Linked DNA regions of Ovis aries. The protein of the gene in region 3 binds, or shares a complex with, the protein of the main gene of each other region. Links are inferred from orthologs where the notes say so. Each region holds a gene or a part of one and is shown on either strand. Other genes may lie near its edges.

What was found.
Region 1: the proteins of VEGFC (region 3) and KDR are in contact, whole or in part, in a crystal structure (PDB 2X1W), measured with the Homo sapiens proteins. The link is inferred for Ovis aries from reciprocal best matches to the Homo sapiens genes VEGFC and KDR. Residues at the interface, in NP_005420.1 of Homo sapiens: Thr148, Asn149, Phe151, Lys153, Phe186, Ile188, Val190, Pro191, Leu192, Gln194, Pro196; in NP_002244.1 of Homo sapiens: Val135, Tyr137, Ile215, Val216, Val217, Val218, Asn253, Val254, Gly255, Ile256, Asp257, Phe258, Asn274, Arg275, Asp276, Phe288, Leu289, Ser310, Ser311, Gly312.
Region 2: the proteins of VEGFC (region 3) and FLT4 are in contact, whole or in part, in a crystal structure (PDB 4BSK), measured with the Homo sapiens proteins. The link is inferred for Ovis aries from reciprocal best matches to the Homo sapiens genes VEGFC and FLT4. Residues at the interface, in NP_005420.1 of Homo sapiens: Leu119, Asp123, Trp126, Gln130, Asn167, Arg210; in NP_891555.2 of Homo sapiens: Gln172, His199, Asp200, Ala201, Leu202, Tyr203.

What each region holds. Positions count from the first base shown.
Region 1 is NC_056059.1:71,308,505-71,312,152, forward strand, and holds part of KDR (vascular endothelial growth factor receptor 2 precursor), read right to left. Parts: intron 2,827-3,648; coding exon 2,733-2,826; intron 617-2,732; coding exon 420-616; intron 1-419. UniProt on the Homo sapiens protein: Tyrosine-protein kinase that acts as a cell-surface receptor for VEGFA, VEGFC and VEGFD. Plays an essential role in the regulation of angiogenesis, vascular development, vascular permeability, and embryonic hematopoiesis.
Region 2 is NC_056058.1:345,308-349,461, reverse strand, and holds the start of FLT4 (vascular endothelial growth factor receptor 3), read right to left. Parts: upstream 2,939-4,154; 5' UTR 2,916-2,938; coding exon 2,849-2,915; intron 1-2,848. UniProt on the Homo sapiens protein: Tyrosine-protein kinase that acts as a cell-surface receptor for VEGFC and VEGFD, and plays an essential role in adult lymphangiogenesis and in the development of the vascular network and the cardiovascular system during embryonic development.
Region 3 is NC_056079.1:7,221,737-7,225,384, reverse strand, and holds part of VEGFC (vascular endothelial growth factor C), read left to right. Parts: intron 1-380; coding exon 381-487; intron 488-773; coding exon 774-1,107; intron 1,108-3,648. UniProt on the Homo sapiens protein: Growth factor active in angiogenesis, and endothelial cell growth, stimulating their proliferation and migration and also has effects on the permeability of blood vessels.

The DNA.
Region 1 (3,648 bases), on a different chromosome or scaffold from region 3:
TGATTCCCTGTGCATTCTTGGGGAAATCTCTGAATCTGCTGTAGATAACCTATCTCTCCACAGAAACTGCTCCATAATTCATCCCTGAATCTTCCTTTTCAAGGATTTCAGGGTTTTTCCCCTCAAACATCAGAAGGCTTCTTATAAATCTCCATTGTCAGTTGCAAACACAGACTTCGCTTAGAAACAAAGATCAGAACCGAACTAATTGGGTAAAAGAGGTGTAACAGGGCCCAAGCTGCAGAACAAATCACTGAATCTTGTCCTCAGAGGAGGCCTTCGGAGAGAGGAATTCTGTGGATTCCTGTTGGCCGACAGCCTTCAGAGCGAGCCTTTGTTGTCCTCAATTCTTCTGTGCACCTATTGTGCTTTGTAACTGGTAAATCAACTTGAGAAGTGAACGGCATTTAACCACTCACCTTGAACATACACATAAACAGTGGAGGCCATGTCAATGTCCTGGTAGAAGCACTTGTAGGCTCCAGTATCATTTCCAATCACTTCTGAAATTGTGAGCATCTTACAGAAGAAGCCATCACTGCAATCTGTGACCTCCACTCTTTTCTCAGAGCTGCTCTGATTGTTGGGCCAGAGCCAGCGCAAGTCCCTCTGACCCCTGAAAAATTCATTCCAAGCAAGTATTTAAGTGAAATGCCTATGAGACTGTTTCTAAGAAAATAGAAGGTTTAGTTCTCGAACTTATACAAACTCCTCATATTATGGACAATATGACAAAAAGGCAGAGTCTTAATTTCAGAAATTAACTCATTCATTCATTCAACAAATATTTATTAAACATGAGCTATGTGCCAAACATTGGTAAAGACTGAGAATACAGCAGTGAACAAACCAAACCTCAATCAATGCCTTCATGGAACCTCAGTCTAACTAGAAGACACAGGCAAAAAAAAAAAAAAAAGTAAATAAACTTCAATGAAGCCAAAATGTTCAAAAAGTGAATAATATTATATAAAAGGTGGTGATAAGTACTATGAAGAAAATTTAGAAGATGCAAACAAACAAGTGAAGGGTTAGTTCTAGAGGGAGGTAACTTGGTGAAAGGGGCCGTATGTATATTGAGGGGGACAGAGCTTCAGGCAAAGGGAACAGCAATGTCAAGGCCCTGGGGTGGATTCCTATCTATAGTGTTAGGAGAATGGCAGGTAATCCAGAGTAGCTACAGAAGAGTGGGCAGTCGGGAGAGTAAGAGGTGAGGTTAGGGTGGAAGGGAATGCAGCTGTCACTGGCACATACAGTACTCTTGCCTGGAAAATCCCATGGATGGAGGAGCCTGGTGGGCTGCAGTCCATGGGGTCGCTAAGAGTAGGACACAACTGAGCGACTTCCCTTTGACTTTTCACTTTCATGCATTGGAGAAGGAAATGGCAACCCACTCCAGTGTTCTTGCCTGGAGAATCCCACGGAGGGGGAGCCTGATGGTCTGCCATCTATGGGGTCGCACAGAGTCGGACACGACTGAAGCGACTTAGCAGCAGCAGCAAGGGCCTCACAGGACGTTGAAAGGATAGCATTAAAACAGACTACTTTCACTGCAGAATTTCTCTGCAAAACCCCAAAGAAGACGGTCAACGTGAAGACAAATGTATCATCACTGACCCTTCTTTAGCAAACTTGACATCAAATTGCAGCAACATTAATGAAGTTACTTTTAACATACTCCATCATTTTTTTCACGACATAAAGGGAGTACAGAATCTCAGGGGGTTTAAATAACCTTTCTTGTCAAGGGTGGTTAAGAGGGAAATCTACGGAGAAATGTATCTTGAAATAGCAAAGCTAGGCCAACAGCTCCTCTTCCTGTTTTTTCCCTAAGGGCTGGTTATTGGTGACCTACCCTTGATAGGGGACTAGAGTATCCTTTACACTCTGCAAGCTAAAATAGACTGGTGTCACCGTGCTGAACACCTTGCATTCATCACGCCGAAACAATGGCAACAAGCGCCCCAAGGTTCTTTGTGGACCCTCAGCACTCTTCTCAGAGGGCAAGGTCGCCTCCACCCATCATTTCTGCCAAAGCCACACTGGTCCCAAGAAGCCTCTGGGTCTGACAAGCATAATCACTACATTAAACCCTAAGTTCTCTTACTTTTCTTCCTGCGGTAGGGGCTGGAAGGCAAAATTTAAAAGCCTCTTTTTCTTGTCAAGAAGACCTATTTCCCCAGTGAGCAAGAATCAAGAGCATGACTTCTTGCTAGCTGGGGAGTGACAGACATGTCAGAACCTCAAGCCAGAGCATGAGATTCACTCAGTAATATTAATGACTGAATATTAAATTGCTACTATAGTCTGAATTTTATCATAAAATGAAGTTCTTGAAAAATGTTAAACAGATGTCCAAGAGCCATGCTGAGAATAACAAATATGTCCCAAAACTTCTTTAACTCTAAGGGTACATCCTTGATTTCATTTATTTATTCAACATTGATAGAGTATATATAACATACCACATGCCAGGTGCTATCAATAATGGTTAGTAGGGTGTGTGTGTGTTGGTAAAGGATTATAGGGGGAAAAATATCAGTAAAATTGCACAGAATTTCGGGGAGAAGACCTTTCTCATGTTTTCATTATTACCTTAGTTCTTAGAAACCTCACTACTTATAAACAATTACAATGACTCTATTACAATTCTGCTGTATGAAAATTATTGCTTCTTTAATAAACAATGAGATATTTGACACAGGAAATCTGAATCTAAAAGGAATCCTTACCTGCAAGTAATCTGAAGCGTTGTGTTAGCCATAATTGTAACTATGTCTTTTTGGATGCTGAGCCTGGGTGGATCAAGGGAAACACTAGAAAAACCTAGAAACAAATTAAATAAATGAATGTAATTGCCACTGAGTCAGGGCCAATAGGAAACACCTTCCATAAACAATGCACACTCTATACTTTAAAAGGCCTCTTCAGCAGTTCATTGTGTAAAACTTGTGAATTTACTTTTCACCATTCCCAGTAAAAGTTCACAAGCTGTGTCATAACAGGAAGAATGGGCAGATGGTCATAAACCAACACAACAGTTCTGCAATTCATGGAGTGAGGGTGGAGTTCCTGTTTTCCTGCACTGCCAACTTCAAGGTCTTAGAAAAGGATATGGGACATTGAAACCAAATGAACCTTCATCTGATGACCTCACTCCTTTGGGAAAGGACCCACTGACATTTTTTATAAAACATAGGACGCACACATTTGACCAAACTGCTGATTACTGAGTACTACATAGAGCGACTTCTACATAGTTTATTGATGTACTTTGGTGGGAAATGTCCATGACCTTGTCTTATTTTTCTTTATCAATTTTCTAATGCACTTACTCTGGTAACTGAACTGCCAAGGTTGAACGATCGTACATTAAAACTAGGTGAGAGGAATTGAGAAAAGAAACATTTTCCAATGTCATATAATATGCATGTACTTTTCCTCAGAGAACAGGACTTTAAAAAGGATGATGCTAATGAACTGCAAGTGGGGAATCTCAACTTATTGATCAAAGTGTTGAGCTTGTGTTGACACCAAGCTTGGAACACAGGAAAAGTGTCTACCTAAATATACCACTCAGTTTCCGTGCCATGGGTCACTCCACAGCAAGAAAACTGAGTCCAATGCCAACTAAATGCAAAGAGCTAC
Region 2 (4,154 bases), on a different chromosome or scaffold from region 3:
TGTCATGGTTGTGCCCCTGCAAGTCTGGCACTTGAGAAGCTCCTGCAGAATGGACTTGGTCCAAATCTTCCCTTTGCCACCCTGAGCAGACATTATAGCTTTCACCTTGCACAGGACTATAGTCCCCTTCACTGGTTAGGCTGCCTGCCACTGCCTGGGGGTCAGGGTGGGGGTGGCACAGCAAGGAGATGGCCAGACAGTCCCCTTGTCACACCTCATGCCCAGCCTGGTGCCTGGTCATGTGGACACTGTGCTGTGGGGAGGCAAAGAGTCCTTCGGCCACACTGACCCAGTGCCTCCAGCATGCTGGGTCTGTGAGCACGCCTGTATGTGAGTCCTCAGAGCACTGAGCTAAGGCCAGTGCTGTACCTGCACTGACTCACATGCCTGCCCCTCTCCCACACCTCTGTCCACACCTGGCCCTGGCTCAGGGCTGAGGAGCAGGGACGGGAAAGAGCTGGGATGGTCATGAGTGTCTCAGCCGTGGTAGGAACCAGTAGCCTCATGGCTGGCCAACCAAGCTTCCTGGCAATTGCCTCCTTCCCCACATGTCCCTGAGCTGACTGCCCACCGTTCAGAGGCACAGACAGCCTCTATAGAGTCTAAGCCCCAAGAGATAAAGCCTGTAGGAGGTGGCCTCTGCCATCTGCCTTCTCTAGAGGGACACGATTGGGGTAAGGAGTCCAGCCCCAAGCACAGCCCCTCAGAGCGTGCCAGCTTGTTGCAGTGCTATGTGTGGGCAAACTGAGGCATAAGGAGAGGAAGGGAGGGGTCCAGGCAACACAGCAAGTAATTTAGGGGTAGAGCCAGGAAGGAGCCAGCTCTGGGACAAGCACCACATCTCTGAGGGTCGCCTTCGGGCCAGGCTGCTCACCTGCCAGCACGTGGCCTCACACTGGGGCTGCACTGGAATGTCTGAGCTTCTGCTCCAGCACTCCCATCAGTCTAGGGGCTTCTCAGGTCCTCTTCAGCCCCAAAGTGGGTGGCACAAGTATAAGGCTCAGGGACTGTGGCAATGGTCTGCTCTCAACGGGTTATCTCCCTACCAGCCGTGCCCTGGTCCAGCCAAGGCTGTCCCCCTCCACGGGCCCCTTGGCTTCATTCTTTCTCTTCTCCCTCACTGCCCAGCTTTGGTAAGAATCACCTGTACTCACTGCGAGACTGACTTATCCCCCCTCTGTCTGCTACCTTGCACTCGCTCTACTCAGGAGCACCAGGACGTGAGTCTCTCCTGGTTTTCCTTACACTCTGCACATTGGATGTTTTCTATCTCCCTGGAAGCCTCTCGCTCTCTGGTCCCCTCTTTGGGGAAGATGGTCCCATCCTGGGACAGCTTCCTCTTCAGCCTCTCTCCTGAGCCTTGGACACTGTACCCACTGCCTGCTGGATGTCTTCTCAAGGTGGGATATCCCACTCAGCCCTGAAGTCCAACCACGGCACCTGTGAAAGCCTGGGCCTGGGAAGGGTGCAGGGGAGCAAAGAAGGGCCAAGAGGCAGCCCCTCTGCTCAGACCTGCCCTGACTTGGAGGCCGGAAGTTGTCTTCTTCCATCCTCCTCCCCCTAGGTTCACCCACACTTCCCTTCACTCCACTCTCCCCAGCCCTTCAGCCCATATAGACACAGAGAATGGGGTTCTTGTATCCCAAAGACCTGGGTTGAACATGTCCTTTACTACTGGCTTCCTGAGGACTTTGGGGGAAGTTACCCCTGTCCTTGGTTCAAGTGTTCCCGTTTGTAAAAAGGGTCTAACATTTCCTTGTGAGGATTAAAAGAAATGAAACATGTAAAGCCAGTATTCAAAGCCAACAGTGTTTAAAAATAGAGGTATCCATTTCTCCCTTCAGATCTTTCAGAACTACTCCCTCAGACACTGGGGACCCATGATCGGTCCTCCGCCCTCTGACCCCCAGGGTCACTGGATCTCTCATGGGCTTCCAGCTCATCTGCCTCTCATTCCTGATGCTTTCCCCCTGACATCTGCAAACAGCCACCCCTCCCTCAATCCCCAAACTCTCTTCCCTCCGATCGCTCAGAGGCAACCTTTAGTCATGTTCCCATCACCTGTTTCCACACTGCCTCTCCTGTGTTGAAGACCCTTCTTTGCAGCCCCTGCCTTATGATCCTTAGCTTGGCCATCCAGGGTGCTACCCCCCAAATATGGCGAGGGCCGGCCTTCTGCCTCTCCTGCCATGCTGATCACTTACGAGCTGCTGACTCAAGATCAGCCTCAAAATCCAACAACTGCGCCCAGTTTTCCCGGACTACGCCTGATTCCCTGCATCCCTTGGGACTGCTCCATCCCAGCAGTCCTTGGCCTGGGGAAAGTGAACAGCAACCAGAGTTCCCTCAGGAATGCTGATCTCGAGCGCAGACTAGAGTCGCGGGGAAGTGCGCCTCCGAGACTACGACCTGGCGGGGACTGCAACCTCTGCGCTGGGGGACAACCTCAGCGCGCGCGGATCGCAGGATAGAGTAGTGCGGTGCCCCGACTCCGCAGAAAAGCGTGTAAGCAAGCGAAGGATCCAGGCTGAGGATGCAGCGCGAAGGGGCCCGGGTCCAAGGGAGCTGAACCATAGACCGTGGAGTGAAGTCGAGAACCCATCTCCACGCTGCTGGGCTGCCCCGCGGCCCGTCCTCTCCCTTTCCTCATCCCGGCAAGCCCGGCCCGACTCTCTGTGCTCCTTCCGGGATCTGAATTCCTGGCTCTCAACCCTGTCTCCCCTCGTGCCCAAGGGTCCCGCGGGCCCCGTCCCCCGACCGGTCTCGCGTCCGTGCAGTCCCACCATTTGCCCAGGGAAAGCGTCCCCGCTCGTGGCCAGCTGCGCACTGGGGCCGGCGGAGGGCTCACCACGCTCGTTGTCGAGCAGTCCGAGGCAGAGCCACAGGCGCAGGCACAACGCGGCACCCCGCTGCATCTCCGGCCGCGGTGGCGCGGATCAAACGTGCGACCGCGGCTCGCGCTTGAGTGTGGGCGCGAGGCACCGCGCAGGCGGGGCCGGGGCGGGGCTGCGGCCGGGGCGGGGCTCCCGCGGCGGCCTTGGCCTCGGAGAGCGGCCCTCGCACCTCTTAGGACCGCCCTCTCGCAGGAGACTGCCGCAGCGACGTGAGGGTGCTGGCGCGAGGGAGGGCTGGTCCGCGCCCCACTGCCGAGTCAACCGCAACCCTTCAGGTTGGCCATTGTGAGTTAAAAAGGGCACGAACCCAGCCGCCAAGATTGGACAAAACGTGGCAGCACGTATTTTTCTGTAATTTCCTTCAGTTAATAAATACTATGTTTAAAGTAGGAAAAAGAAGAAAGCAATATAATTTAAAATAGCAATATATCAAATCTTTGAGACCGTTCAGTAAACTTTATCTTACCGCCTACGTGGTGTAGATGGAGACTGGACCCTTGGGCCAGGCACCCAGTATAACTAACCTCCATCCTGCAGGCATGTCCTCTTTAGATTTCCTCCAAATAGTTTTGCTCTGAGCTCATTCAGAAGTCCTTTCATCAGGTGACAGTTTGCTCTCCGACTTGGCAACCCTTTCATAGACTTCCTTTCTCTTTTCAGGTCTGTCTCTAGATTTTTCCTATTTAAAAACAAATCCCATGAGCATGACTGTCTCCCTCTTCTGCTTTCATAATCACACTTTTACTATCCCTCCCCCTACCACCTGCAAAAGTCCATTCATCCTTGTCAAAAACCCTTGTTGGAAACAATTGTTACTAAATCTCTAATGCAAGAAAGAATGGAACTTAAGTTGTAATCATATATGGAATATTTAATAAATAATGTGAAAGGTAGGCAACCAAATAAACGAAGTTAGATCCTTTTCCTCAACCACATGTTGCTTTTCTTTCAACTTTTGTTGTTAGTTTTAACATATTGAAATTTGGTTTTAATATATTGTATTTAGTTTAAATACGTTGATATATAATCAAGGTACTATAAATGAGAATTTTAAAGCAAACACTTCTGTTTCAGTCCCACAGATTAAAGAATATAAAATGGCACAAGCTTTCCAGAAGCTTGCCCTTTCTCCTCCTTAACCCCCAAATCCTGGCTTTATCATTTCGCTGCTTTTCTTTATCATTTTATTTCCCAGATATATTTTGCTTGTTTTTAACCTGGCCTTATCATTTCCCTGCTTTTCTTTATCATTTTATTTCC
Region 3 (3,648 bases):
CCACTTATGGACTAATAAAGATAATGGAGCAAATTTTATGAAATGACATATAAAGATTTCCACAATAGATCATTTAATGGAAAAAGGAAATTTCAGAATAATATGAAAGGCTTTATCCCATTTTCTCATCAACTAAAACTGTGTGATCATACAAATAAATATATTTGCCTTAAAAAGAGGAATCTGAAATTATATAAAACCATTAGGATTGGACAGCACCTGTGGGTGGGAGTAGTTTGAGAGGGAATGTTTGCATTTTGTTTTATGTATTCTTACATTATCTTAACACTTTCATAAGCATCACTGATTCTGTAATACACAGGTAAGAAAAGAGATGATCCCGTCCATGTACCCCTTATTGTTAACCTGTCTCTCCACAGGTGCCAGGCTGCAAACAAGACTTGCCCCGCAGATTACGTTTGGAATAACCACGTCTGCAGATGCCTGGCTCAGCAGGATTTTATTTTTTCCCCCAGTGCTGGAGATGGTAAGCCAAATGATGCTTTAAGACTAAATGCCAAGGGTCTCTCTGTTGATTAACAAATACCTAATATTAAAATCACATGTACAATATTCATCCTCAAGCTTTGAAATCAGTCACTACAAAATAGGACACTTTCTGCTTCACTTTCTGCTTCTGGTACTGTTTTGAACGTCTCTGTAAAGGAACCTACCTGTGGAAAGGAAGACACTTCTAAGTGCTCTTCATTGTTTCACTCCACACCCAGAACCGAGTAAGGGATAGTAAAGCTGTCCTGACTGTGTTTGTCTAGACTCTGCAGACGGATTCCATGACATCTGTGGGCCCAACAAGGAGCTGGATGAAGAGACCTGTCAATGCGTCTGCAGAGGGGGGCTTCGAGCTTCCAGCTGTGGACCCCACAAGGAACTAGACAGAGACTCATGCCAGTGTGTCTGTAAAAACAAACTTTTCCCTAATTCATGTGGGGCCAACAGAGAATTTGATGAGAACACATGCCAGTGCATATGTAAAAGAACCTGCCCAAGAAATCAGCCCTTAAACCCTGGAAAATGTGCCTGTGAATGTACAGAAAATCCACAGAAATGCTTCTTAAAAGGAAAGAAGTTTCAGCATCAAACATGCAGGTAAGAAACCTTCATAAAGAGTATTAATTTCTCTTTTATTGGAAATAGTTTTCTCAATCCAAAGCAATTTTCTCAGCCAAAATACTGGTTTGTTACAATGGGGCCATTTAAGTTCTGTAAGATGAATTATGATATTTTGTAAACAATGCTAAATTTTGGGGAGACTGTTTGCTCCTGAAAAAGCAAGATGAGATCCCTGGAAACCAAAAGGAGATCCAAGCTCAGACTATACTAAGTCCTTGTCCCAGAGGCTAAGAGAGCAGCTCACAACAGGAGTTAGATGACAGATGCATAGGGCAGTCATTTCTCGAGCATCTTCAACATACACCCAGGCAGCGCACACCTGCCCCCACCAAAAATGACAATGCAGTCAGATGTAATTTTGGACAGCTTTTCTAAGTGCAGAAAATGTTGTGCGAAGTTCACAAAGGGTAGGATAATACCATTTACTGTGGAATTGTATCTAGAAATGAAAATAGTGAAGCTAAGTATTTAATGAGAATTAGAGAACTATATTAGCACATTGTTAAAGGTTACTCAAGGCATTCCTTAAACCTGATTTGGCTTCCTTCATCACAGAAAAGAAAAAGAGTCTCCTGGACTCAGACCCTTTCAGTGTTCACCCCTGACCTTCTTCCTCTGATCCGAGAATAAGCCAGCCCTAGGTGTTTGACACGGCCTCCCACTTTGCTTCAGCATCGCTCCACCAATCACGCCCCTTCTGTTCCACACCTTCAATGTCCTCAACTCTGTTGTTCTCTCCCTCCAATTTAAAAAAGTTCTCGAGTTTCTTTATTGGCATTTCTTACTGCAGTGTTGAACTTTCATTAGCAACAAGCTCTGTCCTTGTCTTCTGAGTTGCTCCATGATGGGTCATTCTGCATTTATCTGTTCACCTCTTTCATCTCTTGTTTATTCCCTCAGCTATGCCCTGAGGGACTGTTATGCCCTGAGGACTCCATGATTAAGCTTCGTTTAAGGTTTCAGTAGCCCTTTCACTGTCAGATTTCAAAACAATCCGGTCTTACTGCAGTTTCTCTTTGGGCTCTCTGTTTGGGCCGAGAGAACACTGTGCTTTCCTGATCGTCCTTTTAGTCTTCTCTCTACCTGTTCTCCGTCACCATCACTGGGTTCTCTTCTTCCACCAACTCTTTACAGACGGTGATAACCCCCACATGACTTAAAGCTTACCTTCCATTATTTACAATATAGTATCTATGTGAATGTTAATCGTTACTTTTGTCTTCAGTAAACAGTGTCCTTCTTTTGATTCTCAAGAGCTTGTGTTACTGTTTCAGTTCATCTTTCTGATGACCCAGCCACACTAACATGTTAGCTACTGCATGAGGAGACTTCCATGAACCTAGGTATCTCTTCTTCTATTACCATTTCAGAAAACCGTATACGAATCCTTATGTTTCCTCTTTAGAGTATTTTTTTAGCAATGATATTCCAATTTTACTTGCATATCCTATTCTAATTACCAAAAGGATATACCAAAACTATAGAAAATATAGATACTAAATCTTTTTAAAGATCATTAAACCATTTTGCACATTGAATCCAAGTGAACCCAGTTTACAGTGAGAAGCCTTAAATTTTTGTTTACATAAAACTAATCAGTTATTATATTTTTCTACACAGTTCTTACATTAACTTAGAGAAAACGTCTCTATCATTGTATTTCTCCTCACAGAATACATTGTTTCTTAATGGCTTTCTATTTACTGAATTTCTTTCCATGTTCATTTTTCTAAGCATATAATTCCAGATTTTATGCATATACTGAAACAAAAAAAAAGATAGCTTGATATTTTGAAAAAATACATACTCCTTACTTTCTCATCATATTTATTCTAAAAGTATTTTGGGCAGAGTATCTATTCTGTGATTCATTACCTTAGTCAGCAAGTTTCATTGATTACTGAAAATCATATCTTTTTAGTAAAGAATTACCAGTATCCCTATATTAATGCATTTGTATTTAGAAATGAAATAAATAAAATTTTAACTAGATATGCTTTCAGGAGCAAAGGAAATGATATTTTAAAACCCTAGTTGTAGTTTTTCTGTGGTACATTCTGATTTCCAGATGGCCTTGCATTTTTCTCGATGGTCATATTATATATACTCATCCCTCAGAAAGTCCTTCAAAGATGTTCTGTTCACTGGAGCAACAGGGCTGTGGATGTTATTGACTGCTGAGTCATATGTCCTTTCATCACCGCTAGAAACCGGACATTGAAGGTGGGGGGAGAGGAACCTCCCCCACAGTGAATACTGTCCCTCCCTGTGCCTTCTCCCAGCCCACACTGTTTTTGTGTGGAGTCCAGGTGGACGAGTGAGGCTGGCCACCCTTTCGTAGCAGCCAGCTGCCAGCCCAAGTTAAGAGTAAGGGTGGGGCCTCCTGTGGACCACAGCCCTGCCAGAATGGCTGGGTTTAATCTCCTTGACGTCTGGGTTCCAACCAAGTCCCAGATTCTTGAGAATTCTGCCACGCTTATGTGATCACGCAAAATCGGCAGACCGTAAATATTCACT